Rhinolophus ferrumequinum: one gene and its partners. The protein of the gene in region 3 interacts with the protein of the main gene of each other region in a biochemical or structural test. Links are inferred from orthologs where the notes say so. Each region holds a gene or a part of one and is shown on either strand. Other genes may lie near its edges. The genes, in order: RAC1, E2F1, BIRC2 and RIPK1.

Region 1 (7,568 bases), on a different chromosome or scaffold from region 3:
AATTCTTGGTTGAAAACCATTTTTCTTCAGAATCTTAAAGGCAATGTTCCACCAGTGTAACTGTTGGGAAACCTGAAACCATTCTATTTCCTGTTTCCTTATGACTTGTGTTTTCTCTTTGGGAGCTTGTAGGATCTTCTCTCTTCCCATTGCTCTGCAGTTGCACAGTGGTGTACTTAGGGGTGGGTCTATTTTCCTTCACTGGGCTGGCACTTTCCCTTCAGGACTGGGAAATTTCCTTGAGTATATCCATGGATGTTTTCCTCCTTTGCTTTTTCTTTCTTTTTGTTCTTCCTTTTCTATTATAGGATATTATTAGGATGATTGGGCCTCCCAGGCTGCTTCCTTAATGCTCTCATTGTTTTCTATTTTCTATCTCTCCATGGCTTTTTTGTCTTCTGAGATTTCTTCAATTTGATGTTTCAAACCCTCTGTGGTTTTTCCTGCTAGCATGCTTTTCCGAGTTGTTCTTTTTTTAAAAAATCATCTGAACTTTTTAAAAAATTTTAAAAACCAGCGCTCCCTTCTTATTCATGGATGAATTATCTTATCTGAAGATATTAATAGCCTTAAAAAAAAAAATTTGGGGGCCGTCCCAGTGGCTCAGGTGGTTGGAGCTCTGTGCTCCTAACTCCAAAGGCTGCCGGTTCGATTCTCACATGGGCCAGTGGGCTCTCAACCACAGGGTTGCCAGTTCAATTCCTCGAGTCCCGCAAGGGATGGTGGGCCGTGCCCCCTGCAACTAGAAAACGGCAACTGGACCTGGAGCTGAGCTGCACCCTCCACGACTAAGACTGAAAGGACAACAACTTGAAGCTGAACGGCACCCTCTACAAGTAAGATTGAAAGGACAACTTGACTTGGAAAAAAGGCCTGGAAGTACACACTGTTCCCAATAAAGTCCTGTTCCCCTTCCCCAATAAAAAAATCTAAAAAAAAAAAATAATAAAGTTTCCTTCTCCCTGCCCTGTTTTTTTTTCCCCTCAACTTTATTTATTTTGAGTTCTAGCTTCCAGTCTGCAAGTTTCCCTCATATATCTTTTAATCCATGGTTGTCTGTTGCTGATCAGAAGTGGGAAACTAAGAGTTAATGGGACACTCTGAAGGAGTGGGGGCTCCCTGGAGACCCCTTCCCATGTTGGGGTCTGCCTTCCAGTCTGTACCCTCCTTCTCTAAATGGCTTCAGGAGCCATGAAGGAAGGGGATCGAGAGGTTCCAGATTCAGCCCAGCCTCCTAAATCCCTTTGTTTTGTTTTCCAGGCCCTGTGTCTCCCCCTCCAAATACTCTCTGATTTACCTTCTCTAGAGAGGAACCTCTAGTATTTTGTAAGGGAGGAGGAAGGAGGCCACCTTGCCTGTACATGATAAGAAGCCATGTAGACTGCCTGCGGCTGCTTCTTAGCTTTCGTCCCATTTTCCTCACCCCACTCTCCCGTCACCCCCACTTCCACAGGTACCGGGTGCCACAGGTACCCAGAGAAGCCCTTTGGTGATTCTCTGGTGAAGGACTGGTGTTGATCAGCCTTTCCCACTGCTAGTCCAGATGGCTAAATCAGTTTCAACCAGTCTGTCCCCTCTTTCCAGCTTCCAGTATCTATTTTTTCTATACTTTCTGTTCTAGGATTATGTTTGTTTTGTTTTGTTTTGTTTTATATCCCTTTCCTGACGTTCTAGTGGTGATTTGGGTGCAAGTGAAATAAGATACTTGCATGTAATGCATCATGTTAACTTGGAAATGAATACTATATGTTCACTTACCTATGAAGCATCTCCCCAGCTAGAAGGCAGACTCCCTGATGGCAGGGAACTCTTGTTCATTTCACACTTCCAACACCTAGACAGTGACTGGAACGGAAAAAAATGATTGACCTTGAATAAGGGAACTAAGTAGGCTATATGATTGCATATAAAAGAGGCACTTGAGAAATAACTATGTAGCATATTCAGAAACACACATGGTCTAATATTTGCTTATTTAGTTTTAACTTTAACTTTTTTGGACCATTGGTCACCATGGATAACATTACAATAAACACTCAAAGCCAAACTTGGGAAAGTTTTAAGTTAACTAAGTTTTAGCTTAAAGCTAATTTTCACATGTGGATTGTACATTCGCTTTATTTTATAGTCACAGTCCAACGTCTAATATGGTGGACTTTCACTTTATCAATCTATGGAAATAATCATCTGAATGTGGTTGTGTCATGTATTGGCTGAACAATTCATGTCCTGTCATAATAAAGGCCATACTCACAGGCTGTCTGCAATCCAGCCTCTGATTACTCTAGATTCTAGACCTGGGACAGCCAAGTGTTTAGTTCCCTCTGTGTCCCATCTGAAGACAGTCCTCAGCTTTTAACTTCCAGGATTTCGCTCTCTCTGTGGAAAACTCTTTTCTTCTTACTCCATCAAGACCCACCAAAAATCCTCCACAGACCCATCTTTCAAGTCTCATCTCTTTGATGAAAGCCTTATTAGAGTGAACACAGTTTTGGCTTCCTGATAAACACCGTATTTGTACCCCACATATAGTACTGAGCACAGTGGGCTTGCTATTCTAGCAACTATGTCCTTATCTGGTTCATTTACTGTCAGGCCATAATGCAACCGCAGCATGCAAATGTTTGTACAATTGAATTAAACTATTGACCTGAGGCCTACCCTTTTATTTGCCTCTGGTCCAAAGACATGAAGGTAATTACACTTAGTTTAGGTTTGTCATAGATTCACAGGAAATTTTTATCAGCCAAGGGGACACTGTTGCACTTGAAATTTCAACTCCTTTTTAAGGGAGTTGTGAACTTTATGAACAGAGTAAAAAGGAGATGCCCTTTGCCCTGGGAACACGTTTCTTTTGAAATAATTGCAAGACAAAAAACAAAAAAAAAAGGAACTGTTAAAAAAAATTTGTGTAGAAAAAGCCTGATTTCATAAAACTGTTACAATACAGAGCAACAGAGTGAATTATACAAAGAGAAGGCCTAAAAGATGAAAATATCAGTGGAAAGCAACTCCCCTGGATGGTCCACTCTCACAGAGGGTTGAGGGGAGTGTGAAGCTTGCAGGGGGGGGGGCGGGAGGGCGGGGGGGGGGCAATGTAACAACAGTACCAAAGCTTTAAAAACACTCACCCTCTATTAAGCCAGTAACTCCGTTTTTGGGAACGTGGTTTAAAGAAATGAAGCTATAAAGATCGTTGCACAAACATGTTCATCCCAGCATTGTTTGTCAAATGGGGACAACTCAACCCTCGGATAATAGAGGAATCCTTAAATTATGGTACATGTACATAATGGAATGACTAGTAAGCAGCCATTAAAAATGTTCTAATGATTCAGTATGACTTCACAATGCTGTTTAAAACATGTTCATTATGCATATAAAGAAACAACTGAGCAGAAATACACCAAAACATTGGCACTTGAATGGTCTGCTAACTGAACATTATCTCCAGAACTTGGTATTAAGTGATGAGAAAAATTCTGCGATGCTACAAATTAAATTATAACCGGCTGGAAAGTGAGCAAAAGAGAACAGTTAGCTTGTTAGTAGCTGGGGGCCAGCTAACAAGACTGCTCACATTCCTTAGTGTATGTTGGAACTTTTAAGTTCCAGGTGGCTATTTCCACAATTATCTAAAAGACATAATAGCCAGGTGCCATCAAACCGTCCACTTCTTGTTTAAGTATGAACTTTCTAGACTGTTGCCCACCACTAATCCAAAGAAGCAAATGCTTCTTCCTTATGGATTCAGTGCCTACCCTAGAGCTAGCTCTGCAGCACCTTCTCCCACCAGCTTTATCTGTAGCCAGTGTAAATTCTTTCAAAACAACCTACATCTTTCTTCCCCAAACTGTTTCCCTAAAAAAGCCGGTTGACACCATGTTGCCTTCTCCACCTGGCGCGGCTGCTGGTGGTTTAGAATATATGCCCCGGGCCCTGGTCATCTTTTTTTCTAGCTAGCAATGACCCAATAAACCCTTTCTTTTAAAATGACTTTCAGCCGTGGAAGTTAAAATTTCTGTTCAACGAAAGCATAGGATATAGTAAGTGCTCAACGCATTAAAAATAATAGAAAATGCATACGCAACGGAAGAAAATTCAGCACATTTGGGGCTTAATATACCTCGGTTGTGTCTGAATAATGGTACGGCCTATGGTCTTTATAGTTTTGGGTTCCGAATTTTCTAGAAGTGCCTGTCATCACATAAGTTACGGTCATCACACAGGATGGACAGACAGACCAACGCCCTTCTGCGGGCCTCGGGCAGGAGCAGGATGGGGCGCCGAGAACGTGGCCCCTGGGACTCAGGGCTCCTCGGACCCAGCGCCCCTCCCCAGGCCGACGCCCGCAGGCCACGACCGCACCGCGCCGTCTGCGCGCAAACATGGCGCCTCGCTCGCCTCGCCGGAGCCGAGCGCTCCCGAGCGTCCCCGAAGCCGGGAGGAGCCGGTGAGCGCGCCGGCAGGAGCGCCCCGCCCCGAGCTTGGGAGCCGCGGCGCGGGCGCGGGGGAGGGGCGGCCGGATGTGAGTGGAGCGGCCATTTCCTGTTTCTCTGCAGTTTTCCCCAGCTTTGGGTGGTGGCCGCTGCTGGGCTTCGGCTTCCCGTTGGCGGAGGGCGAGGCGGCGTGGACAGCGGCCCCGGCACCCCGCGCCCTGCCGCCCGCAGCCGCGCGCCCGCCCGCCTGCCGCGCCCCGCGCCCGCCGCTTCTCGTCTCAGCGCCCGGCCGCCGCCTCCGCGGCCCAGCGAGCGGCCCAGATGCAGGCCATCAAGTGTGTGGTGGTGGGAGACGGGTGAGTGCGCGGCCCGGGGGCGGGGGCCGGGGCCGCACGGTTCTGGGGGCGCAGCGGGGGCCGGGCGGGCGGGCGCGCGCGGGGCCTGGGCCTCTCCGGGCCGTGGGCGGGGGGCGCGAGCCGCCAGCCCTCCCTGGGACCCCGCGGCGCGCGCCGGGTTCTGGCTTTTTCTCTCCCTTTTTGGTGGGGGAGGGAATCGCCGACGGCGGCCGGAGGGAAAAGTGAACTCCACCCTCCGCTTTCTCCCCGCGCCCGCTGACCGCGGGGCCGAACTTACCTGGCGCCGCGCCGCCAGCCTCCTTCGTTTGCCTGTGGATTACGTGGGCTTAGAGAGTTGCCTTTCTCTTAAAAGGACCTTTTCTTGGCTTAGATTTAACCTCTCGAGCCCCATCGGGAGCTTCCGTGCGTCCCGGCGCTCAGGTCGGTCGTCAGTGACCAGAATTGGCCTGAGCTGCTTTGGGGACCCTACGCTGGTTTGCCAGGGGGGATCTTCCACTTGGTACTTCGCCACTTTTCGGATTTTTTAAATGATTATTTTTGCTCTTTCCGTGGAGAAAGTTTTAAGGTTCTAGCTGCGAGGAGCTGGGTGTGATTGAGACGGTTCTTTCCTCCGAGCGTGGTGTGGTCCTTAAAAAAAAATTGGCCTTCGCTTCTTGCGTTAGGTATGGGATGTAGCAGAACAGGCTCCCTGAGCCGAGCGGCCCTGTGACTCAAGGCGTTTCTTTTCATTACTGTCTGTGGTGGTTACAGGCCCTAGAGGAAGACAAAACTTGTCTTATGCAGTTGTTTTTCTCCCATAGAAACAATCTCATTGTAATCCGAGCAAAATTGTGTCTCAGCATTGCTCGAGTAGTTAAGCGTAAACAGGGAAGCTCCAAGAATTACTACCAGTTTCGTCCAAGTCAGAGTGCAACTGGTACATTTTTGGAGTCGGGTGAAGTCGGACGAAGAGTTCTGGCATCACTGTGCCTTTTGATTAATATTCCCCAGTCGTGTCGTTAGGACTGGTGTAGCTTTTATACCTCTCAGTGAGTTTATGAATTCTCAGCTTATGTCGGTCATTGCAAAGTAAGACATTTGAAATTGTTTCTGGAAGAAAAAAAAAGTCACTACTGATAATTCAGTATCTAGCCACAGTAATATTCTTATTTGAAAATTTCTAAAACTAAAACATAAGCATAGCAGATATATTTAGTTCATAACCTACGGAGTGGACCTCTACTGTTCCGATTGGCTTATCTAGTCAAATACTTGTTGAATGCCTGCTATGGGATCTGGATGGTTCCTTCAGACCCACACCCCACCACTTCTGGGGAAACCCTGAGCATATCACTCATCCCCCAGGAGAGGTGTGGCAAAGGGAAGTGGTGACGATTCAGCTGGAAGTGAAGTGCCTCACCGTGCGGGCCCCTGCTGAACGCTTTATACGCGCCAGCGGCGTGTTATTAGGACTGCTGTCTGTGTTACTCTGAGGCGCTGCTAGGCTCTGGAAAGGGAGTATTAGGCAGAAAATAGTTTCTGGACTTGAGTTTTTTGAATTTTGTAACACTGTGTTTGACATTGATGTTGACTAGGGCTGAGCGATATTAGTGAAATGTACCTTTACAAAAAAAGTTTCAGCTGTATTATTTAAAATAAGGGACAATAGGTAGCAAACATTACTTCAGTGCAAAACTTAGATACCTAGTTTTACATACGAAAAATATTTTTCTGCTTTTACCCAAATAAAATAAATTCCTGGTGATACAGTTAGAATGTTCTTTTATTCAAAAATTGTTGGGGCTGGCCTGGTGGCTCAGGCGGTTGGAGCTCCATGCTCCTAATGCTAAAGGCTGCCGGTTCGATTCCCACATGGGCCAGTGGGCTCTCAACCACAAGGTTGTCAGTTCTGAGCTGTTGCTGTGAGCTCCCGAATGGCTCAGTTGGTTGGAGCGCATCCTCTCAACCACAAGGTTGCCGGTTCGACTCCTGCAAGGGATGGTGGGCTGTGCCCCCTGCAACTAGCAGCGGCAACTGGACCAGGAGCTGAGCTGCGCCCTCCACAACTAAGACTGAAAGGACAACAACTTGACTTGGAAAAAATCCTGGAAGTACACACTGTTCCCCAATAAAATCCTGTTCCCCTTCCCCAATAAAATCTAAAAAAAAAAAAAAATTTGTTAAAGCTGTTAACTGTGGACCTAAATTTTGTGGGGCTGAGAAATCAGTTAATGTTGTGTGGACTTTCAGGCCGTTAAGGGCAGGTTAAGCAGTGAAGGCAAAATAACCGAGGTTCCACAAATTGGAAGCTTCCTTTGAAAATATTCTTGGGAATTATGGTTAAAGGCTATGTCATGTTATAATTAGGGTCAATTAGCCTATATTCTTCTAATGGATATTTCCTATGTGGCAGTTTGGCATTGAGTGTAAAATATGACATAAATTTGGTACTTTTTAATTCTAAGACAGTCGATCCTAAACACAGGGTCTGTCACTTTTATTTGGGTGACCTCTGCCCCGAGATTTTCTCTCAACTTCACTTAGGTAAGACAGCATCTCACATTCAAATATTGATAAAGAACCATTTTTAATAGTGTTGTTTTGGCTTTGGTTTATTAGAAGGCTGGGAGTGAATGACTTGAAGCCCTCATTTCTCTCACTATAGAAACTGGTGTCCAGATGGGGCTAGTGGTCCCTTTAGCCTTTAGGACAGATATTGCTGTCCAGGAATTTCTTTCCTTGAGCAAGGTAAATGGCCTTCCATGATGTCATCTTTATAGGAGTGTGTGTCCAC
Region 2 (7,663 bases), on a different chromosome or scaffold from region 3:
GGAATATTAAGTCCTATTTGCTTACATTGGACCTTTGACTCTCTGGCCCATATCCCGCTAAACATACTGACTGACTGATGGCCAAGTACTTGGCCAAGGCCACACAGCCAGGCAGCTGTTGGCTGGCACTACGCCCCATGTTTCCTGTTTCAGCATAAATGCCCACTTTTCCTACTCTTCCATATCCCCATCTTCTCTTTAGTTACTTGCAAAGCAGAGGAGCTGTGCTGGTGCCCATTGGTTCCTTTGCAGTAATATTACTAATAGTAGTTAATGTTTATTGAGCGTTTCTTTACTCTATGCAAGGCATAGGCATTAGAGATTGCAAACTCAGATACTTGGAATGGCAAAGCAAGTAAGGTCACCGGGTGAGGCAAGCCAGGCAGGACTATGGTGGCCTGGAGGGTCAAGGCTCTGGCGAAATGGGGCACAGCAACTGCTCAGCACCATGATGGTCTGGCTAGTACCGTTTCCCCCAAAATTAGATAATCAATTCTAATGTGTCTTTTGGAGCAAAAATTAACATAAGACCCGATCTTATTTTACTAGAAGACCGGGTATAATATAATATACACGGTCTTATAGTAAAATAAGACTCTCTGGCCCACATCCCGCTAAACATACTGACCGACTGACGGCCAAGCACTTGTATTATATTATAATATAAAACCGAGTCTTACATTAATTTTTGCTCCAAAAGACGCATTAGAGCAGATTGTTCAGCTAGGTCTTATTTTTGGGGAAATATGATATTGCCAGATGTTACGGTTTTAAAAGAAAGCCAGATATTTGAATTTTTGTATAGCATTTCTAAATTAAAAATTTTCTTAACTAATTCATAATTCAGAAAAAAATACTCCGTGGGCAAATTAAATCATACATGTTGGCCAGTTTGCGAACTCTGTTTGTCCTCTTTTCTCATTCAACCCTGAGACCCATCCTGTAAAGGAGCCTTTGCCCCTTGTTCTACGGATGGGGCAAGCAAAGCTCTTCAAGAGGGTAAATCACTTACTCAAAGTCATCTAGCCAAGCTACACAGTTGGGGTCTGCCTGACTCCCAAGGCTTACTCCTATGATAGACGGCCTATCAGATGGGTAAGTGGTCTGTGTTCAGATACAGCCAGAACTGGCATGGTGACAATATCTCCAGGGACAGTAAACCGTCAGTCAAGCAGAGAATTTAGTGTAGCAACGAAGGATCATTTGAGACAAATGTGATGTTGCAGACATAAAACTTCCTGAACTCAACAATGGATGTCTCTGTGCCCCTTAATAAAATTAAGTCACCGCAGAATTTCTCCCAATTATGCATTCATAATGATGGGATGTTCATGTTCGGAGATTGTTTTTCCCCTGAAGCTAAGAATGTATGTGGAATAAAGAGCTTTGAATTATTGTGTCATTTGTCAGACTTAACGAACATATTGCGCAGGTCCATAGAAATAATTCTGACTCTTCCACTGGACTATGAGCTCCAGGTATCAGAGATAAGTCTGTTTTGCTTCCAGCTGTCTCCCTAGCACCTAGTATAATGCCTCACACATAGGAGGTATTCAACAAATATCTGTGGAATGAATGAGGCTCAGAGGAAGTGAATTGACTTGTCCAAGGTCACACAGACCAAGGTTCCTATTTATATCCCCCTGATTTACAAGCACATACTATCACGTTTACACCATCCTGCCTCTTGGAAAGAATTAAGGGAAAGATATCTCCAGGCAAAGGATCATGGGCTCAGGAGCTTCCACCGCTTTGGACTCCTCTAAAGTAAGGAGTTGGTGTAGGTAGTAATGGGGGTAAACATCTACTAATTAAGCCAATATACATTATAATACCTTTTGGAAAGCACACATTATAATCTTGACAGCCCTGAGCCTCCTGAGCTTGGCTCTTGGGGTATTTACAGAAGGTGGTGGGGTATAAAGAGCAGGCCCTGGGTTTTGCAGCGGAACAGGCTAAGTTCCCATCTCACTTCTGCTGTGTGACCTTGAACTTCAAGTGCCCCTCTCTGAGCCTCCTTCCTGCACAACGTTGATAAACAAGCTTCACTTATGGGATTCTCAGGTTAAAAGGAGCTCATCAATCAAAGTGGCTGCCCAGTAAGTGTGGATTTTTTGAAAACCTACCAGCCTGAGGAGAACTTTTGACACAGAGAACAACGTTATCGAGATTGGCCAGGCTTGGGGCCAAGGGGCCCCATCAGTCAGGCCTTTGCTGCTTTCAAGTGGGTATTAATAAATACAGAAGGCCCTTATCTCTTCCTTGATTGCACACTCGGAATTCTGGTCTTCACTCCTTTCCGCTGAGCAGGACAGGAAGGATTGTGGGAAGGACGGCACCTGCTTCTACCTGGGAGGTTGTGTACTTGAATATTTTGGGGAGGACAGGACTTTGGAAAACCTCTGGCTTTGGCCTCTCCAAGCCCAAACAATAGCCTTTTCATCTGCTAGGTAAGCTCATGCCCTTTGGGCCTCAGTTTCCCCATCATTAAATTGATAAAAATAACAATGTCTTCCTTCTCCAGCAACCAGTATAGTGCTTGGCACGTGACAGGTGCTCAATAAATGTTCGTTGAATGGCTGTTGGGTATGAGAGTGCTTTATGAAGTGAATATTATTGTTATGGAGACTCTTTGGGAAGATGTAAAGAAAAGAAAGTCCATCTGGAACAGGAATGTTGCTGATTTCTCTCACCCTCTGTCAGGGTCTGGCTTGATTTTTTCAAATGAGACCTACCATTCTAATGGTAGCTTTTCTGTCTGGGGAGGAGAAGGGGGACAGGCTGACCCCAGGGCTGGTAATCCAGTGTAGGCCAAATTCTATCACTGGCTGGCTTACAGGTCCCTCATGGGCCTCAACTTTCCCATCTGTACAGCAAGAGGCTACTAGTCTCTGGTCCCTCCTAGTGCTGACAGTCTAGGATTTGCAGTGAGTAATTTCACAAACTGTTTAGGAAACTCCTGTGTTCCTGAACCACCTTATAGTTCATAAAACATTTTCAGATCCCTTATGCTTTTCATCCCTATCTCAGATGAGGAACTGAAGCTGAGAAGTGTCGTCAAGAGGCTGTAATTTGAGGCATCACCACACATTTTGGTTATACAGGTATACCAATTTGTTCTCAAATGTGAATGTGCATAAAAACCCCCTGGAATGGGGATGGAGGATTGCTTGTGAAAATGTGCACGTAGAGATACTAAATGGGCAGGGGGTGGGGTTAGGCCCAAAGTGAACAAGCACCCAGGTGAGTCTGAAACCAGGACCCTAAGACGGCTCTTGGAGAACCAGGGCCTCCTGTTGCATTCTAAATAGCCTCTGGCATCATCAGCCTGTTTCCTTTCTCATAACTCCTCTCAGCACCTGCTTCAGCTGTGCTCAGGCCCTGTTGGAGTTCCCAGTCTAGTAGGGGAGGCAGATGGAGAAACTGAGTGTGGTCAGTGCTGGAACAGAGGCAGCATCCAGCAATAGAGGAAGTAATTCTGGAGGGCTTTCTGGAGGAAGTGATGTTTATACTGGGCCTACCGCTTTGATTCTTGTTTGTGTCTTAGCTACTTTTTATGTGTGTGGCACATCCCCACCAGGTGGCAGGCAAGTTCATTAAAATTATCAAGTCTTACACATCTCTGCCTTCAGTGCTGGCACAAGGCCTGGCACAGAGGACAATATTGGTCAAATCAGCTGACCGGAGCAATGATATTGGCTGATGGAGAGATCCCAGGGACTATGAAATACATTTTCATGCTCAGCATCCTCACCTCTTCCCTTTGTGAGATTAACATGGAGTTATTTTAATGGTGGAAATCCTTCATCATATTGCAAACATGTGTTACCTCTCTGTTCCCTCTCCCTTGTTCACTAGACTATGAGCCCTTCAGGGTATGAACTAAGAATGAGGCACAGAGCAGGCTCTCAAAACGTTTGTTGAATGAGTGAATGCACGCTTGGGTGAATGAATGTATAATAATGAATGAATAATGAATGAATGAATGAGTTCAAGCAGAAGCTGTGCATTTGGCTACTAAGATGAAAGAGGGCTCGGAGGAAAACCTCAAGCTGTAATGGGCCAGACTTCCCTCCCCATTTCCTGAGAGGCCCCTTCTGCTTGGGTTCTGGGTGATAGGGCGGGCATAGGATTTGAAAGTAAATGATAAAAGTGGGGCAAGCTGACGATGGGAGATGTGGCTAGGGCTTTGGAAATGGGCCTGAGACCCTAGAAAAGAGGGTCAGTTTCTAGAGATCTGGGCTGAGGGCGTTGGGGCTACAGGTGTGTGGAGGGTGTCTGGGGGTCATGTAAGGTACGCTGACGGTGAGATGCGTACAATGGACATTCGGTACTAAAGATCTCCTAGAGAGATCAGCGGGTGGGGTGTGTCGAGGTGGGAGCGGGGGCCACCACGCCTCGCAAAGGGGCAGTCCCGCCTGGGGGCGGGGAGTGTGAACGCTCTTGGCACCGCCCCGACAAAGCCTGCGCGCGCCCCGACCCGCAATTGGCCGCGCTTACTCGCACCGACGCCCCATCCCGCCCTTCACTGCCGGTCCGGCACGCTGTACCCAATAGCCACTGTCGCCGTCGCCTCCGTCACAGACCGGACAGCCAATAGTGACAGCGCTCGGCGGCTCGTGGCTCTTTCGCGGCAAAAAGGATTTGGCGCGCAAAAGTGGCCGGGACTTTGCAGGCAGCGGCGGCCGGGGGCGGAGCGGGATCCGGAGCGGGATCAAGCCCTAGCCGCGGCCTGCCGCCATGGGCCCGCGCCGCCGCCGCCGCCTGCCACCCGGGCCGCCCGGGCCGTGAGCGCCATGGCCGTGGCCGGGGCCCCCGCGGGCGGCCCATGCGCGCCGGCGCTGGAGGCCCTGCTCGGGGCCGGCGCGCTGCGGCTGCTCGACTCCTCGCAGATCGTCATCATCTCCACGGCGCAGGACGCCAGCGCCCCACCGGCCCCCGCTGGCCCTGCAGCGCCCGCTGCGGGTCCCTGCGACCCCGACCTGCTGCTCTTCGCCACGCCGCAGGCGCCCCGGCCCACACCCAGCGCGCCGCGCCCCGCGCTCGGCCGTCCGCCGGTACGGACACCAGGGACACTGGGCCGAATGTGCTGCTTGGACCCCCATGCAGACCCGGGCGGGGCGCGGTTTTGGGATGGGAGGCAGCTGGGGCGGGGGAGGGGTGGGCTGAGGCGCCGGGGCTGGGCGGTGCCCAGACTGGGTTGGGTCTCCAGGCCCCTCCCCGGGGTGCGGAGTGACCTCGGGCCAGTCCCTGTTTGCTCCTCTGCTGTGGGCTTTAGCTTCCTCACGGGAGCCGGTCAGACGCAGTAATCATAATGGCCCACGTGTATTCAACTGGCGCTGCTTGCATGCCAGGCCTCTGGCCGACTTCAAGGCAGCTAAAACTCACAACCTTGCTGTGAGCTTGGTGTCACTGCCTATCTGAACCGAGGCCCAGAGAGGGGAGGTGACTTCCTCTTGGTCACACCTCTGCAGGTGGTGGGACTGGGGTTTTAACTGAGGCCTGCTGGCTTTACATCAGATCTTGTGGCTAGGTAATGGGTATGGCAGCTTGGGGAGATGAAGTGAGGCATCCTGGGGCCAGACTGCTGAAGAGCCGTTGAGGAGGCCCTTTTTCATATCTGGATGCTCCACTGCCAGGTGCAGCCCTGGGCCTCTGGGCCTCTGGGGACAGGCCTCCTGGCTGGGAGGTCTTCTCTGCAATGGCAGGGTGGCTGGGCCAGCTGCTGGTCCCCTCCCTCTGCCTGTCCTTCCATCTGCCACCCTCCACCCTCCCAGGCCCTGGTTGTCATGGAACCTCATTAATCAGGCTGGCAGACCCCTGGGCTCCGGTGGAGGTACTGGTGGGCTTGGCCTCTGGAAGCTGGAGAAGAGGTCTCCAGTTCCAGGGGAGAGTAAACATCCTGGGGAGATGTCTTGAGAAAGTGCTCCTTGAGCAAAAGAGGCTCAAGATCAGTTCAGATTTGGGGGTGCCAGAAGAGGTGGCTGAATTACATGGGGAGAAAGGATGGAGTTTGGACCTGTGGGCTGCAGGGCAGGGTGGGGAGACCAGTTTGACAGGCCTTTTCTGTGGGTGAACGTGGGGCACGGACAGGCAGGCTGGGGTCTCAGCAGGAGGCTTGGAACAAGTAGGAGAGGTGAGGCAGAGCCTAGGGCAAGGAGGTGGAAGCGGCCCAACTGCTGGTGGGGGCCTAGGTGGCAGCTGGTCCCTGAAGCATCCCTTAACTCCCTTGGCCCGGTGCCCAGTGCTTCCTCCCTTCCAGAATCACCAAGATGCTAATAATAATAACAACAATAGTAGCACCATTGTTTTGAGATGTTTTCTTTGTCAGGCTCTGTGCCAAGCATTTACCCAATTAACTCATTTAACCCTCTCAACAGCCTTCCCCTTTTATAGATGGGGAAGCTGAGGCCTAGAGATGTTGGAACCTTCCCTAGTCATTAGCTAGTGAGTGGTGGGACCAATAGACATTTTCTGAGCACCTAACTGTTGGGATGCCTTACTTCCTGGAGATGCTAAGAGAGGTTGAAGGAAGTCCAGGGGCCCTTCCTCCTAATCAGTGACGGAGGGGGTGGGAATTGTACCAGGGTCTGGTCCCTTGGCTTGTCTCGTATACCCCAGTGGCCTGACCCTGCGGCTACCATCTTGGGGTCTGAACAAATATCCTCCATTTAGCTGACTTGACATGTACTCAGCAGGCCCAAGGCTGGGTCCTGCCCTCAGGGAGCTGAACTCCAGGTTCAGAGGGACTGCCAAGGACTGGGTCGAGGAAGGATGCCCTCCACTCCACCCCGAGGGGTGTCCGGGGCAGCCTCAAAGGACCTGAGCACTCCACTCATTTAACAGTTGACTTAGTGAGTACCCACGAGGTAGTAGGCACAAAGGCAAGTAAGGGGCCTCTGCCTTCACAGTACTTAAGCACTAGTGGGCATTTTCTACAGGTGAGCAGGCAGGTGTGGGAGCTGGTACCATCCTGGAGCTGAAGTCCAGAAAAATGGGCCCAGATTTTCCCCTCCAGCAACCCCAATTCTTGTACCTGTGGGTAACCACTGGCCACATGAGCTATGGCCTTCACCTGTCCACAGGTGTTTGGGGCAGTCCCTGAAAAAAGCTATAGGCTCAGCTTCTGTACCAGTGAGCATTCATTGAGTACCTCCTGCATACAGGCTCTGCAATTCAGCCATTTCTCCTGGCCCTTCCTGTCTACCTCTACTCTATTGTTACGGCTACTAAAACAACAACAAAAAAAGTGTAATACATAATAACTATAAAAAGTAAATAGACTAGAAAGGTGAAGGGGGCAGGCTCCCAGTCCCACCCATTATTTCTGTTTTCCTAAAACCTATTTTTATTTTTAGGTGGTTATGGCTGGTTTTCTAAAATTTCAAAAATTGTACTTTTTCATTTATTTCCACGTTCAAACAGTACCATCCGCACGGTTCTCCCTTGCACACATAGATTACCTCTGAAATACATTCTATAATAATAGAAACTGAATCATAGGAAAAAAGGTTTTTGTGCTTTTTTTTAACCCAAAAGGTTTATATATGCATTGCCCTAAAACAACGTGGTTTTTGTCAATGTCTTTGAGAGGATTCTGTGTCGATTTGCTTCAGTCCTTGATAGTTGCATGGTCTTCCAGGGTCTGGATGAACCAGTTTCT
Region 3 (7,798 bases):
GCTTTGGAATAATTCTACTACAGATTCAACTGGTCAGTCTCTCCCATGATTGCTTTTTGGAAAACCACAGGAAAATCCTTTCCTGGATCTGCATCAACTTTTTGGATCCTAAAAGTCTTTTATCTTTCCCTCCCTTGACAGGAAATATATATGGAAAGAACAAGGTACTCTATGCCTTGTGTTTGCCAGCATGAATTCTTGTGACTATTTGTCTCCAATAATAATGTCTTTTCTTTTATTATGAGTTTGAGGAGTTGGGGGCCAATTAAAGAAAAGAGCACAAGGTGGTAGTAGCACACTACCAAGCTTTATTTTGATGGTGCTAGACCGTCTCATGCAAGGGTTATTCCCTCAGAGCAGGAGGACTTCCAGAGACAGAGGTGTGGGAACACCACGAAGGGAAAGAGGGCAAGAGAATTCTTAGGCAAGAGGAGAACCAGAAAGAAGGCTTACATCACATATAGTCTAGGTGACTGCTGTTGCACAACAGTCCCTGAGTCAGGATAAGAGCAGCTGCAGGTCTTTTATAGCCTGAGCGTTTGTCTTTAGCTAGTGGACACTGGGTATGCAGAGCAGGCAGACTCAAAATGGATTAAAATGTGATTATTTGGGATACATTAAGTTATTAGATGTGTAAAAATTTGAGTTTGGCACAAGGAAGTTTTTGAGCTAATGGTCCCAGTCTGCTGTGAGAAGTAAAAAGTATGAGGTCAATATACACGGGCCATCTTTAACCCATTTATCATCGTAACCTGTATCATCCTAACTTTTAACACATTGATTTTTGAATTTAGAACTGCCAAGATTCTAATTTACATTAAATGATTAATGTTCACTAATTAAACTTTTAATTATTTCTGATACAGACTTTAAAAGCTGTCATGAACATTCAGATTCTTTACAACATAGCTGTAGAAGTCTTTTCCGTACTTATCTTGGTCATGTCCTCAGTATGTAAGATAAATTAAACCAAGTGAGCTTTCAGATTATTTGTAGTTCCAAAGCCTTAATGAAAAGATTTTATGGAAAAAAAGAAAAGTCCTAAGACAGCTTCAGTAGTACCTCGGTTTTTGAACGTCTCCATTGACGAATATTTTGGTTTACGAACGCCGTAAACCCAGAAATAAATGCTTCCGTTTTTGAGCACACCTTGGAAGTCGAACATGTCATCCGTTTTTGAGCACACCTTGGAAGTCGAACATGTCACAAACAGTTTTTTGGAACAGATTATGTTTGAAAACCGAGGTACCACTGTATACATATATAAAGTGATTTTTTTTTTCAACAGATGGAAAGGTAATGCTTGTAAATAAGTAACTACAAGCTGGGGAAGGAAGTTGTGATGTGGCCATAATTTCAAAGCTTTTTTTTTTTTTTTTTTAAGATTTTATTAGGGAAGGGGAACAGGACTTTATTGGAGAACAGTTTGTACTTCCAGGACCAAGTTGTCCTTTCAGTCTTAGTTGTGGAGGGCGCAGCTCAGCCTCAGGCCCAGTTGCCATTGCTAGTTGCAGGGTTGCGTAGCCCACCATCCCTTGCGGGATTCAAGGAATCGAACCGGCAACCTTGTGGTTGAGAGCCCGCCCTCCAACCAACTGAGCCATCCAGGAGGCAGCTCAGCTCAAGGTGCCGTGTTCAATCTTAGTTGCAGGGGGCGGAGCCCACCATCCCTTGCGGGACTCGAGGAGTTGAACTGGCAACCTTGTGGTTGAGGGCCCACTGGCCCATGTGGGAACCGAGCTGGCAGCCTTCGGAGTTAGGAGCATGGAGCTCCAACCACCTGAGCCACCGGGCCGGCCCCCAAATTTTTAATGTGTTGGGTTCTGTTTATTTTTTTAAAAGAAATACTTCAAAAATTTAGGAAAATATACATTTCATCTTTGTAATGAGGGGTACCAGAACATGCCACCATAAAATGTGCCTGTTTGGCATATGGATTATTTTGAGCTAAAGGCCATTGAGAACCAGCATGAAAAGATCTAAATACAAGGTAAAAGTTTTCCTTTTCTAAAGGAAATTTACATTTATACAGTACTTTTCCTGGTCATTTTCCTAAGGCCCCAAACCTCCTTTGTTGGTATTTAAACCCAAGTTCTAACCACCTGTTTCAGTTACTCCTTCACTGAGGATTCTCATCTATACTTGTGTGATGCACATGCTAATAAACTTGTTTTTCTCTTGCTAATCTATCTTTGGCCAGTCTAATTTACAGAACCCCAGCTGGAGAACCTAAGATGGGCAAAAGAAGAGATTTTTTCCTTCCTTACAGTACCATGTTTCCCGAAAATAAGACCTAGCCGGACAATCAGCTCTAATGCATCTTTTGGAGCAAAAATTAATATAAGACCGGGTCTTATATAAGACCCGGTCTTATTTTATAGTAAAATAAGACCAGGTATTATGTTATGTTGTTATATTATGTTATGAGACCGGGTCTTATATTATAGTAAAATAAGACCAGATCTTATATTAATTTTTGCTCCAAAAGACACATTAGAGCTGACTGTCCGGCTAGGTCTTATTTTCAGGGAAACACGGTATATACTGATGTGGGGAAGAAAAATAATTTTCCCTCTACCCTACTGAGTTCTTGGCTGAGACCCCTGTAATAAAAGATCAGCAAAAGAAAAAAAAGTTTAACATGTATACCTCACATATACATGGGAGATACCCAGGGAAAAATGAGTAAACTCCCTGACGTGGACTAAACCACAGGCTTAAATACCATCTTCAGCTAAAGACAAAAGAAATAAGGGTATGGGAGGCCAGTTCTGGGGAGGCTACCAGGAAAAGCACAGTTAACAGAGGTAAAGTTTGTTATACAGATTTAAGTCAGTGCCTTCTCCATTTGCCACCTCCTCACCCCATCTTTGATCTGCCTAGCTCAGTCTTAGCAAGAATCCTGCTAAGTCAGGTTAGTGAAAATTCCCCTACCATTGATATCTGACCAAATTCCTTAACCTTCACCTTTGATGTATTATTAAGCCCTTGGCCTATCCTCAGCAAGAATCTCCCTGCCCTTGATGTCTCCACTAACTAATTTTACATCTGCTGACTCTTTCATTCTGCTAGTTGGCTATAAATCCTCAGCTGTCTGCTGTATTCAGAGTTGAGCCTGTTCTCTCTTCAGTATTGCAATGCTCTTAGGACAATATGCATGAATAAAGTCTCAACTTGTTGCTCCTTACTTGCTGACATTTTAACAAGCATCAGAATAATTTTTTAACAATACCACATATCAATTCTAACGATTTCATATTTAATTTTTAAAAATAAAATATATGCAATTGATTCATATGAAAATATTTTCAATGTTGTTCATAATAGAGCAAATAAATTAAAATTATACTGAAATACTATTTATCTAATAGACTGGCAAAAATCTTAAAGTTTGATAACATACTCCCCTGGAATTTGTTATCAAATTGTGCAGTTAATGGAATTTACATATATTGCTGGCTGGATTGCAAAATGCTAACTCCCATGAGGGGGGAGGGATATTTGGTCATATCTAGCAAAATTACTATGAATTTACCATTTGATCTAACAATCCAACTTCTGGGAATATATCCTAAAATAAAATGTGTGTCCATGACTATTCATTACAGTACTATTTGTAACAGCAAAAGATTGGAAACCACTCAGATGTCTATCAATTAGGGAAATAGTTGAATACATTATGGTACTAGTTGAATATATTTTACGGTACATTTACACAAAGCAAAACCATATTATCCAGCTCTGTCCATGGATTAGGTTATAAAAACAATATAACTCAATAACAACTAGCACCACAAACATTCAAATTGTGGTCTTTAAATACCATTTCCCACTAAAGGAACCAAGCCATGAGGTAAGAAATGTACAAAACCAGTCTGAAAAACAATCAAAGACTACTAGGGCCATGTCAAAAGGACTCAGGAGCCAATGTGAATGAGCTCATATTGGCCTAAGATTAATAAAAAACACGAGCACCAATAATGACAACAACTGCAATGGATTACAACTCACAAAATACATTTAAGTCACCAGATTCATAATGAAAGCTGTTCACTTTTATTTATCCACCAGGAATGTTTTTAATAGTTTAGGTCAAGATCTAACTTTTCCATTAGAATAACCATTCATTCAGGATTATTAACTAGTTCATCTTTTTCTCACTAATATGTAATACCAATGTCATATATCAAAGTTATATACATATGAATATTATATATATAAAATTATATATATATAAAATATTTTATATATATAATATATATATAAAATTGTGTGGGGGGGTGGCTCCTTATCTTGTTCCGTTGTTTATTTTTACATTCTTGTGCTAATACAATACTGTCTTAATTACTTTATTTAGTTGCTTTATTATACAACTTGTTATCTGGTGGACAAGTCCCTTCAGTCTTTTCTTCTTTAAAATTGTCTTGGCTCCTGTAAATATTTTTTGTACATAAATGTGGAAAGTCTTAGGATGGCAACCTCAGCAGACATATACCTTAGTTTTAAAAATCACCGGCAACTCTACACTGAAAATATGAAAAAGATTAACTGAGTAAATTTAACATCACACTGCAAGGTTATACAAGATTAAAATCATATAGCAGGATTTATTATACCTGAACGTTATTACATACATATTTGGGAAAAATATCTAGGGCTTTTGAGTTTTTGAAATTCGAATTTTCCGCTATACTGAAGTATATTCATTATCTTACTTTTTGGTCTGGACAAGAACTGAAATAATCTCGAATTCGGAATGAACAATTCTTGCTATATATATTTTCCCATACATAAGGAAGATTCTGTAACTTTCCGAGAAATACTGATTTGAACTAAATACTAAACTACTACCAAACTCTTCTTGTGCATATTTGAAAGTTTTTAGTCATTGGGAGCCATGACATTTCTTTTCTCTGTATCATAAACTGTTATGAATACTTTCTTTTTACTATTAACATTGCAACAGAAGACCTCCTGTTTCGTGATTGACTGGCAGGCAGAAATGACAGGGACAGGAAATGGGAAATGGTTCAGGGTCTTGGAATTCCCCAGATGCCTAATTAAGTGGCTTGTTATTTGGAAGTTTTTGAAATGTTTGCCCACTGGAGTTCCCCCCGAGGAAAAGCATCTGATTTTATTGACAAAGAGTGTCTTCACAGAACATAAATTAAGAAATTCGCTCCTGCAATACAACAAACATTTACTGCACGCCACTGCTTTTGTGATACTAGGTGTGGGAGAAGACAAACCTCCATGACTAGTGACATCAAGATTTCTTATTTGCAATCCTCTATCAATTATTCACTGAACCATTTAAGACTTCATCGATAAGTCGGCTCCTTTGTGGTTCACGTACGATTTTATATATAAACACATATATGAACGTATACATTCTATTTGAGTCACATTCAGAAAAATGTGACTTCATTGGGAGTGAAGACTGGTCTGAAATACCGTCCACGTTGCTAGCGATGAGCTTTTGAAATAAGGACACTTTTTCGTTAGTGCATATGTCTCCAGAACAGAAAAACAAAGTTGAAAAACAAGTTTAAAAACGAAAGCTACATTGGTTGGTTATAGATTCATAATACAATCCCTAAAGATTATAAAATCAGAACTTCAAAATTAATCTTCTGATGCTGTTCTACTTTCCACCACTTGGCTTTTTTCCAGTTCCACCGCCAGCTGTGAATGTTTATGTTAGGCAGCTGTGTTCTGAGGAAAAACGGTTACAACTGTTTTAAACGGTTACAACTGTTTACTTAATTGAAGCAAAAATGCCACGAGGTTGACTCCATCCTCAAATGCAGTCATCTACGACGAGTGGAGGAGTCACACGAGAGGAATTTGGCCAGGAGTTGGATCAAATAACTCAGAGCGGAACGCGGAGAAGATGCGCAAAACCACCGGCCCACGGGTGTTTCCGCAGGGCTTCCCAAGAGTCAAACTCTTCGGCTCACGGTTTGCCACGTTCCCCTCGGGAGAATGTTAGGGACAGAAAGAGAAGGAAACGCCAAAAGTCCTCAAACCGCGAGATTAAAACTCGAAACACCGAGCTGACGGAAACCGTCTGCGCCCCTCCCGAAAACCGTAGACTCCCCGGCGCCCTCGCGCGGCGGTGACGCAGGCCCCGGATAAGCGCGCTGACGTCACCGTGCGTCGGCATGGGCCTGGCGTGGGCTGCGGACTTTGGAAGCGTTGACCCGGAGCCAGCCGGGGCGCATCTCTTGTCCGCGCCGTTGCTCTCGGGTGTGTGGAGCCCTCCAGGCGACCGCGCCGTTTCCGTGTGTGCTGCGCCTGCTCTGAGGTGAGTGCTTCTTCCGGGCCCCGGGCGCGCGAGCCGGTGGGGGCCCGCGGGGCCGCTTCCTTTCCCAGAAGCTGTGGCGGGCGGAGGACAGACAGGGCCTCGGGCAGTGCGGCCGGGGGATTCGAGGGTCGCGGTGAGCTGCTGCTCTCGCGTAGGCTTTTCTTCAATACGCAAGTTCCACTCCAAGATACGTAATCGAAAATAATTTTTAAAAATTGACCTGTTTGCGTGCCTGCTGGGCCGCCGCCCAGTTTTCCGGCCCTTGGACTTTGACCAAGATGCTTTCTCTTAGTGTTTGCAGGGTTTTCAGTTTAGCCTTGGGTATTCCTTTAATTTGTTGAATCAAAGACTGTGTTGTGTCTCATACCGTGTTTCCCAGAAAATAAGACCTAGCCGGACCATCAGCTCTAATGCGTCTTTTGGAGCAAAAATTAGTATAAGACCCGGTATTATATTAGGCCCGGTATTATATTTATTATATATTATATTATCATAAATACCTGGTCTTGTAGTAAAATAAGACGAGGGCTTATATTAATTTTTGCTCCAAAAGCCGCATTAGAGCCGATGGGCCGGCTAGGTTTTATTTTCGGGGAAACACGGTATTTAAGATAGTTTCAAGTAGTCTATTGTGTGGTGTGAGAAATAACTCCAGGAAATTAATGGGTAAATCCTAATTGTTGCTCTCCTTTGCCCTTCCAGTATGTCCCCCGCATCCAGCTACTGTTTGCATACAGAGAGTAAAAATCCACAGAACAGTGCTTGTAGACAAAAAAAAAATATATCATTTAAAGATATGTTGTCAAGTCTGGGTGTACCGAAAGCATTCGTGCAAGTGGTCACATTCCCACGGCCATTGGACTAACGTTTTGTTTTTGAGGTGCTTTCTGTGGTTGCTTTGGAATTGGGAGGGAATTGTAGAGTTGAAGAATTTATTTATGCTAATGAGTTCCTGATGCATTTTACTCTTACTGGTCTCCTTGCCTAGTACTGGAGAGACTTGACATTAAAAAATAATGTTACTGTCTAATTACTGCTGGACTGTTGCTGATAGGATGTTGTGTCCTTCACCACTGTCCCCTTTTGCCTCTAGCAAACCGCCAGAGATTTATCCTTAATATTAAAAGTTGTCACCAGAAAAGGGGAAGAGACCAAGGACAAGATATTTTCCTATGAGGAAATGTCTATCTGTCTTCAAAGTTGTATGTTTAAAAAATAACATATATATACATATATATGTGTGTATATACACACACACACACACACACACACACACACAGTGCTAAGGGGTATATTGCATTTATTTTCATTAAAAGCTTTTCCAATTAGAATGTTTTGGTGACAAATTGCTGGAATTAAGATGTATTATTGAAAGTGTAAGTCATTTTTAGACTTTACTGAATAAATCGAAGTCTATAAATTCTATTTACAATGAAAATACAGTTTTCTAAAATAGTTTTTTTTTCTTCCAGATTTATAACCCTGAAGAGA
Region 4 (7,268 bases), on a different chromosome or scaffold from region 3:
TTTTTGTTTTTCTAAGAGCTCTTTCATACAGAGTTGATATCTTGTAGGTCTTTCCATTTAATCCACTGTTATTATTCTGGAACCCCTTTGATGTAGTGGTAATTTGTGAAGGAGGGAAAGCATTTTATAATCTTATGATTAAATCTCAGCCTTTCCATTTTAAGTGGACTGATTTTCCTTCTCCCAGATAGATAACACTCTGGTAAAGTTTTTTCCCTGGGAGAGCAAGTCTTTGATATGTTGAACTCTTGGGATGTATTTCAAAATGGTTTCTTCCCCCCTCCCACTTCCAAAAACATGAGAAGATTTTCACTGGTTCTTTACCTTGAGAATTTGGTGGGATTTCTGATGGTAAAATCCATGAAAGTGTATCCATCCCTGCCCCCAAGTCTGAGCCCTTAATAGTTTCTCACTCTCAAGCTAATCAACTCATTCCCCAGAAATTTACCAAAATTACCATTTAATTGTTTTACCAGTTCATTGTCCCAGCAGTTTCTGCTCCAGATATGGTGATATTAGTTGTGATTGCCCATATTGATCTGTCTACAGATTTCAAGGTAGACGTTTGCACTTTGACTTCAATTCTCTGTTGAGTCTAAACAGAGATTGGTTGATTTTCAGTTTGTTTACCTTTTTTCTTGTTGTAATTATAGGAGCAATAACTTCCATTTTGTTTACATATGGAATTGAAACTGGATGTGCCAATCAAGTTTTAGCAGAGGTGAAAAGGCAATTCAAAGGATAATCTTTACAAGAAACTGTTAGAACAATTGGATTATCTGTATTAATAAAAAAAAAAACTTGATCTAAATTAAACATCATGCTTTATACAAAAATTGCCTCAAAATAAGTCATACTTCTAAATGTAAAAAATAAAGCTATAAAATTTCTAGAAGAAAATATAGGAATAAACTTTATGACCTGGGCTGAGATAAAGAGTTTTTAGACATGACATCAAAAAAAAAAAATCTATAAAAGAAAAAAAAATTGATTTGAGGAGCATTAACATCTTAACATTGAGTCTTCCAGTCCAGAAAGAGGGAAAATCTGTTTATTTATTTAGGTCTTTTTTCACGTCTCTTGGCAGTATTTTGTTCTTTTTTTAGAGGTCCTACATATTTTTTACTGTATTAGTTGCAATGTTAATGCTATTGTAAATGCTGATGCTCTTCTAACTTCATCTTGTATTGCTTCTCGCTAGAAACAGAAATACAAATGATTTTTAATATCTATCTTGAATCCAATGACCTTACTAAAGTCACTTATTAATTTTAGGTTTGTTTTAAATTCCTTTGAATAGTCTACACACATAATTATGTCCTCTGAAAATAATGACAATTTTATTTTTTCCGTTTCAATATTTTTATGTTTTGATTTTCTTTTCTTGTTGCAATGGCCAGAGCTCCTGGTACAATTTTGAAGAGAAGTAATGATAGTGGACTTTCTTGTCTTGCTCCTAATTGCAAAGGTAAGTGCTTAGTATTTCATGGTTAAGTATAATGTTATCTATAGGTTAGTGTAAATATTCTTTATTTAATTAAGAAAATTCTATTCTTAGTTGTCTAAGAGTTTCTATCATGAACAAGTCTTGAATTTTTATCCATGCTTTTTCTCGAGTAGGTTATATGATGTTTTTTCTTCTGTAATGTGGTGAATTACTTTGATTTTCAAATGTTAAACTAACATTGCATGTATGGAATAAACCCTAGTTGGTCATGATGTATTATCCTGTTAGAGAGTCACTAGATTCAACTTGATAATATCTAATTTAGGATTGTTTGCCTCCATGTTAATGGGATATATTAAACTATAATTATCTTTTCTGGTGCTGTCCTTGTCAAATTTGGCTACCAAAGTTAAGGTGGTCATATTAAAAGCTTTTAGGAAGTTTTCTCTTTTTCTCTTGTCTAGAATAGTTTATGTAGGATTTGCATTATTTCATCTTTAAGAATAGTTTATGTAGTATTTATTACCAAGGAAGTCATTTGGGTGTGGAGTTTTCTTTGATTTTTACTGATGCATTCAATACAGGACTATTTCAGTGTTCTATTTCTTCTTCAATCATTTTTGACAAGTTGTATTTTTCAAGAAATTTCTCTAGTCCCTCTACAGTGACATAAAAGTTCGTTATGTCACACTGTTGTCATTATAACATTAATGACATAAAATTGTTAATAATTATCCCTTATTTTTTAATCCTTTTAAATTTTGTATAATTTTTGTTTCATTCTTGATAATATTGGTCTCTCTCTTTGTCAACAGGGTCAATCTTGCTGGGGGGTTATCACTTTTAATCTTTACAAATGGCCAACTTTTGTTCTTGGTTAATTCCTCTGTTGTATGATTTCTATTTCAATGATTTATTTTCTTAGATTTATTAGAAACTTACGATATTTTTGTTGAGTTTAATTTCCTGTTTTTGCAACTTGAGATGAGCATCCAAATAATTGATTTTCAACCTATCTTATAATATATGCATTACAAGCCAGAAATATCACTCTAAGAATGAAGTTGGCTTTATCTTAAAAAAAGTCATCCACATATTTATTATCATTTAGTTAAAAATATTTTCTTGGGACCGGCCCGGTGGCTCAGGCGGTTGGAGCGCCGTGCTCCTAACGCTGAAGGCTGCTGGTTCGATTCCCACATGGGCCAGTGGGCTCTCAACCACAAGGTTGCCAGTTCGATTCCTCTACTCCCGCAAGGGATGGTGGGCTGCACCCCCTGCAACTAACAATGGCAACTGGACCTGGAGCTGAGCTGCGCCCTCCACAACTAAGACTGAAAGGACAACTTGACTTGGAAAAAAAGTCCTGGAAGTCTTGTATCTAGTACCTGCTTGGCATATGGTAGTCAGAAATGTCTGCTAAATGAATAGGCCTCTTTCATTGTATACGTGTAATTTTATTGTTTACAGCAGTTTTAGTTTCACAGCAAAACTGAGTGGAAAGAGCAGAGTGTTCACACATATTCTACCCTCTCCCCAAAACAAAACAAAAAACACAGCCTCTTCCACCATTTTGCACCAGTGTGGTACCTTTGTTACAATTAACCAACTGACACATCATTATCAAGCAAAGTCTATAGTTTACATTTGGTTTCACTCTTTTGTACATTCATGGGTTTAACAAATGTATACTGTATTCACCATTATAGTATCACACAGAATAATTTCACTGCCCTAAAAAATCCAGTGCTCGACCTATTCCTGCATCCCACCACAAAAACCTGAGAACCACAGATTTTTTTTCACTGGTTCCATAATTTTGTCTTCTCTAGAATGTCAGTTAGAATCATATATTATGTACCTTTTTTCAGATTGCCTTCCTTCACTTAGAAATAAGCATTTAAGATTCCTCCATGTCTTTTTGTGGTTTGATAGCACATTTCTTTTTAGCACTGAATAATATTCCATTGTATGGGTGGACCACAAGTTTTTTGCCCATTCATCCACTGAAGGATAATATTGGTTGCATTCAAGTTTTGCCAATTAGAAATAAAAGTGCTATAAACATTTGCATGCAGGTTTCTGTATAGATGTAAGCTTTCAACTCATTTGGTGAATATCAAGACATGTGGTTGCTGGATCATATGGTAGACTGTTTTTAGCTTAAAAAATAAAACTGTCAAACTTTCTTCCAAAGTGGCTGTACCAATTTGCATTCACACCAACAATGAATGAGAATTCCTATTGTTCCACATCCTCACCAACATTTGATGTTGTCAATATTTTGGATTTTAGTCATTCTAACAGGTGTGTAACGTGGTACCTATTATTTTTTCAAATTTGCAATTCAATAATGACCTATAATGGTGAGCATATTTTCATATGCTTACTTGCCATCTGTATTGTCATGTCTATTAGATCTTTTGCCCATTTTCTACTTGGGTTGTTTCTTTTCTTAATTGTTGAGTTGTTTTCAATATACAGTTGACCTTTGAACAAGAGTTGGGGGTGTGGGGCGCCCACAACCTATGCAGTCCAAAATCTGGGTATAACTTAAGTCTGCCTTCCAAACATGAAAATACAGTTGAAACTTGAACAAGGCAGGTTTGAACCGCGTGGGTCCACTTAAACACAGATTTTTAAAATACCCCTGTATGTGGACCCGCGCAGTACAAAACCGCTTTTTAAGGGTCAAATGTATTTTGAATAATAGTCCTTTATCAGATATGTCTTTTTCTTTATCAGATATATATTTTGCAAATATTTTCTTCCAGTTTGTGGCTTCTCATTCTCTTGATTATATAATATATAATCACGCTGTGTATTATTTGCTTTTTAATACAGAACTGTATCAAGCTTTTCCCATTTTTCTTGAAGATTTCCCAATCATTTCCCAGCCATTTTAAAGGGCTGGAAAATAATAGCACATTTCTCCCTGCACAGCCCCAAAGAGCAGATATTATTATCCCCCCTTTACATGTGAAGAGAGGTAAGAGAATCGTAAATTTGCCTGAGGTTCAAGCGCTGCTTAACCTGCAGAGCCCAGAAGTCCCTGGGAGACCTACCCAGTGCTGTTTACTCAGCTAAGCGGCCTCTCCCTCAAGGCGGAGGTTTCTAGGACTAGGCATCATTACCTTTTCTTTGGCCTTCCAACTCTTTCAAATAAGTAGAGCAGGGATTCTTTGGCTGACAGATCTTGGGGACCGACGCCCCCACGGCCGCAGGGCGGGCGCCCTCCCCATCCTCCTCCCCGGCAGGAGGCGGAGCGAGCAGTCCACGCCCCTCCGCCGCCGGCGCTTACTCATTCGTCGCTCTGACGGCGGGGACAGCGGACAGGCCTCCCCGAGCGCAGGGGTCCTGGCTGGCCCTCACCTCCAAGGGCCAACCGCGCGGTCCCAGCGAGGGGAGGGAGTGCGAACCACTCGGCTGGACGCGCGCGGCGCGGCGGGGCCGACAGAGCCGGGCGTGGTGAGCGCGCGGCGGGGCGGCCACTCTGCGTCCCGGTCTCCCCAAGCCCGCTGAGCTCTGTACCCGGTGACCCGCCCCGCAGGACTCGGGCGTCCTCCCGCGGCGCGCCCCAGCGAGGTGGCGGCGAAGTCGGTGTCATTCCTGAAATTCCTACCGCTGCTTCTTTCCTCACTCAGGCCTGGGGAAGTTTGCCGCGGAAACGAAAGTAAATAACTCGGGTGCGTCTGCGCGGTAGCAGTGGCAGCGCCCGCCAGATTTGGGACTCTGTCTGCTTCTGGGCAGGCGGGCGGGGCTTCCTGACGGGGCGGGCTGTGGGCGGAGAGTGGGCCAGTTGGGTAGTGGGTGGGGCGCTTGGCATTCCCGGAAGTTGGTCTGTGAGTAAAGCTGTTGTGGGGATTGACCCGGGAGAGCACTTTCCAGGCTCTGGGCCTCACGTGGAAAGGTGTTGTCTTGGTTAGTAGATGGCCATCAGCTGTAATCAGATGGCCATCTGCCTTGGCTAGGTGTCCATTAGTTGTTACTGGTTAGCCCTTAGTCGTTAATACTACTGCCGTGGCTATGCTGGCAAGGGGGTTGCTTGGCAGAGAAGTGGATGGCAGGTTGCCGCTAGCCAGTGTGGTTAGCAAGCGGACTGTGGATTGCGGATCCTGTTGATCCTACTTCCTGTGTCTCCCCTGGCCGCCAGGGAGACAGGATTGCAGGAAGACCCTCTCATTGGGGTACTGGTGGATGTTTGCTTTTGTGTCTCTGTCAGCCGCCAGCGAGAATATAGTGGTATGACTCCCCTATCTATGGCTCCGTGGGTGTTCTGTTTTGGCCTCACCGTATCCTGCGTTCTTGTGTGGGGAGCGGGACCAGAGTCCCTGCATTATACCTGTCGTATTCCCGGAAATCGGGTGGTGGATCCAATTTCCCCTGCACCTGTTCGGGAGGACGAGGTGAGCGGATGCCCCGCAGCAATCTGGGTCTTGTACTCAGTTTTAAAATCCCAGATATCTCTCAGCCAAAGGAGCCCATCTTTATTTTGTTTTAAAGGAAATTAGGAGGACAGAAGAAAAGAGGAAATGTTACCCAGTCCTAGAAACCTCCACCAGAGTTCCGGGAAATCAGGTGCAGAATTGTTAACTGTCCAGGTCTCTGTCGCTCTCAGGCTTGCGGGAGGTTTCGGTGTAAATCCGTACTAGAGTGGAGAGACCTGACCTCAGGTCACTAGAACCGTGTGACGTAGGAACACACCTTTCGTTGTTATTATCTTTGTTGTTTTGGTAGGGGTGATGGGTTTCCATTGCTGTAGCTTTCCGGTACAATCATGGATGCCCTTGCCATAATAGGGTAAGTAGATGTCTCTAGTTGGGACTTCTTACCAACCTTTTGAAAGTACATTTTACTGTTGCATTTGAGGCCGTAGCGGGTTGCAAACAGTGAAAAGCATTAATGCGTAATCTTAGACGTGAACTGGCAAATGGAAAAGAAGGGTCTACAGCCGCATTGACAAAAGGGACAAATGTCGTAACGCGTGGAGGCCTCTTCCGTGGTTAGTGGCGTTTGCTTTTATGAAATGCTGCAGAATCTTTTCAGGGTTTAGAAGAGGATTAGCTACATCCTTCTCTCTTAAGCACTTGACAAAAGCCCACAGGAGTGGGTGTGTGTTCATTTCTTTGTGTCTTGCTGATGTTTTGTCTCTTCCTTGCTCAGAACTCTTGTTTATCTTGGACAAAGCCTGAGGCTGTTAAAATCAACCAACTTTGCAGAAGTTTTTTGGTCTTTAAACCACTACTATTAATTCTTCCCTAATTTACACTTGAAGAAATCAAAGCTCAGAGTGAACTTTGGAATATAGAGTGACTTAGTACTTGATTTGCATCTTGTAATCACCAGGTTGGTACAGTAGTAACGAAGATATTATGGTCAATTAGAAATGTACACCTGAAGCTGAAGCTGAACAATATTGAATGTTGACTACAATTTTATATATATATATGTATATATATATATATATATATATATATATATATGGTTACAAGAAGTGGAGTACAGCATTAGGAATAGAGACAGTGGAGATGTAATGGCTGTGTGTGACGTCAGAGGGGTAGTAGATGGGGGAAGAGGGGTTGTCACTGTGTGAGGGACATAAATGATAAATGTCTAACTATTAGATTGTTTTGTGCACCTTAAAGTAATAAAAAAGATGTTAAAAAAAAGAAATGTAGAAAACTGCCTTTTTCTAAACAGAAAATGAAGACTAAACTTGCTTCAAACAGAATTTAGAACTTATTATTACTGATAAAACAGCAGTAACAATTACTTTAATTTTCATTTTCCTCTATCTGCACTATATTGAGCACTGGAGATA

Evidence for each region.
Region 1: the proteins of BIRC2 (region 3) and RAC1 form a complex in vitro, tested with the Homo sapiens proteins (2 studies listed by BioGRID and IntAct, with this or other methods). The link is inferred for Rhinolophus ferrumequinum from reciprocal best matches to the Homo sapiens genes BIRC2 and RAC1.
Region 2: the proteins of BIRC2 (region 3) and E2F1 form a complex in vitro, tested with the Homo sapiens proteins (2 studies listed by BioGRID, with this or other methods). The link is inferred for Rhinolophus ferrumequinum from reciprocal best matches to the Homo sapiens genes BIRC2 and E2F1.
Region 4: of the proteins of BIRC2 (region 3) and RIPK1, one has a biochemical effect on the other in vitro, tested with the Homo sapiens proteins (6 studies listed by BioGRID, with this or other methods). The link is inferred for Rhinolophus ferrumequinum from reciprocal best matches to the Homo sapiens genes BIRC2 and RIPK1.

What each region holds. Positions count from the first base shown.
Region 1 is NC_046307.1:41,100,429-41,107,996, forward strand, and holds the start of RAC1 (ras-related C3 botulinum toxin substrate 1), read left to right. Parts: upstream 1-4,563; 5' UTR 4,564-4,760; coding exon 4,761-4,795; intron 4,796-7,568. UniProt on the Homo sapiens protein: Plasma membrane-associated small GTPase which cycles between active GTP-bound and inactive GDP-bound states.
Region 2 is NC_046306.1:21,283,722-21,291,384, forward strand, and holds the start of E2F1 (transcription factor E2F1), read left to right. Parts: upstream 1-4,650; 5' UTR 4,651-4,796; coding exon 4,797-5,057; intron 5,058-7,663. UniProt on the Homo sapiens protein: Transcription activator that binds DNA cooperatively with DP proteins through the E2 recognition site, 5'-TTTC[CG]CGC-3' found in the promoter region of a number of genes whose products are involved in cell cycle regulation or in DNA replication.
Region 3 is NC_046294.1:71,879,813-71,887,610, forward strand, and holds the start of BIRC2 (baculoviral IAP repeat-containing protein 2), read left to right. Parts: upstream 1-4,781; 5' UTR 4,782-6,307; intron 6,308-7,779; 5' UTR 7,780-7,798. UniProt on the Homo sapiens protein: Multi-functional protein which regulates not only caspases and apoptosis, but also modulates inflammatory signaling and immunity, mitogenic kinase signaling, and cell proliferation, as well as cell invasion and metastasis.
Region 4 is NC_046292.1:90,729,964-90,737,231, reverse strand, and holds the start of RIPK1 (receptor-interacting serine/threonine-protein kinase 1), read left to right. Parts: upstream 1-4,249; 5' UTR 4,250-5,120; exon of another isoform or gene 5,121-5,133; intron 5,134-5,325; exon of another isoform or gene 5,326-6,247; intron 6,248-7,268. UniProt on the Homo sapiens protein: Serine-threonine kinase which is a key regulator of TNF-mediated apoptosis, necroptosis and inflammatory pathways.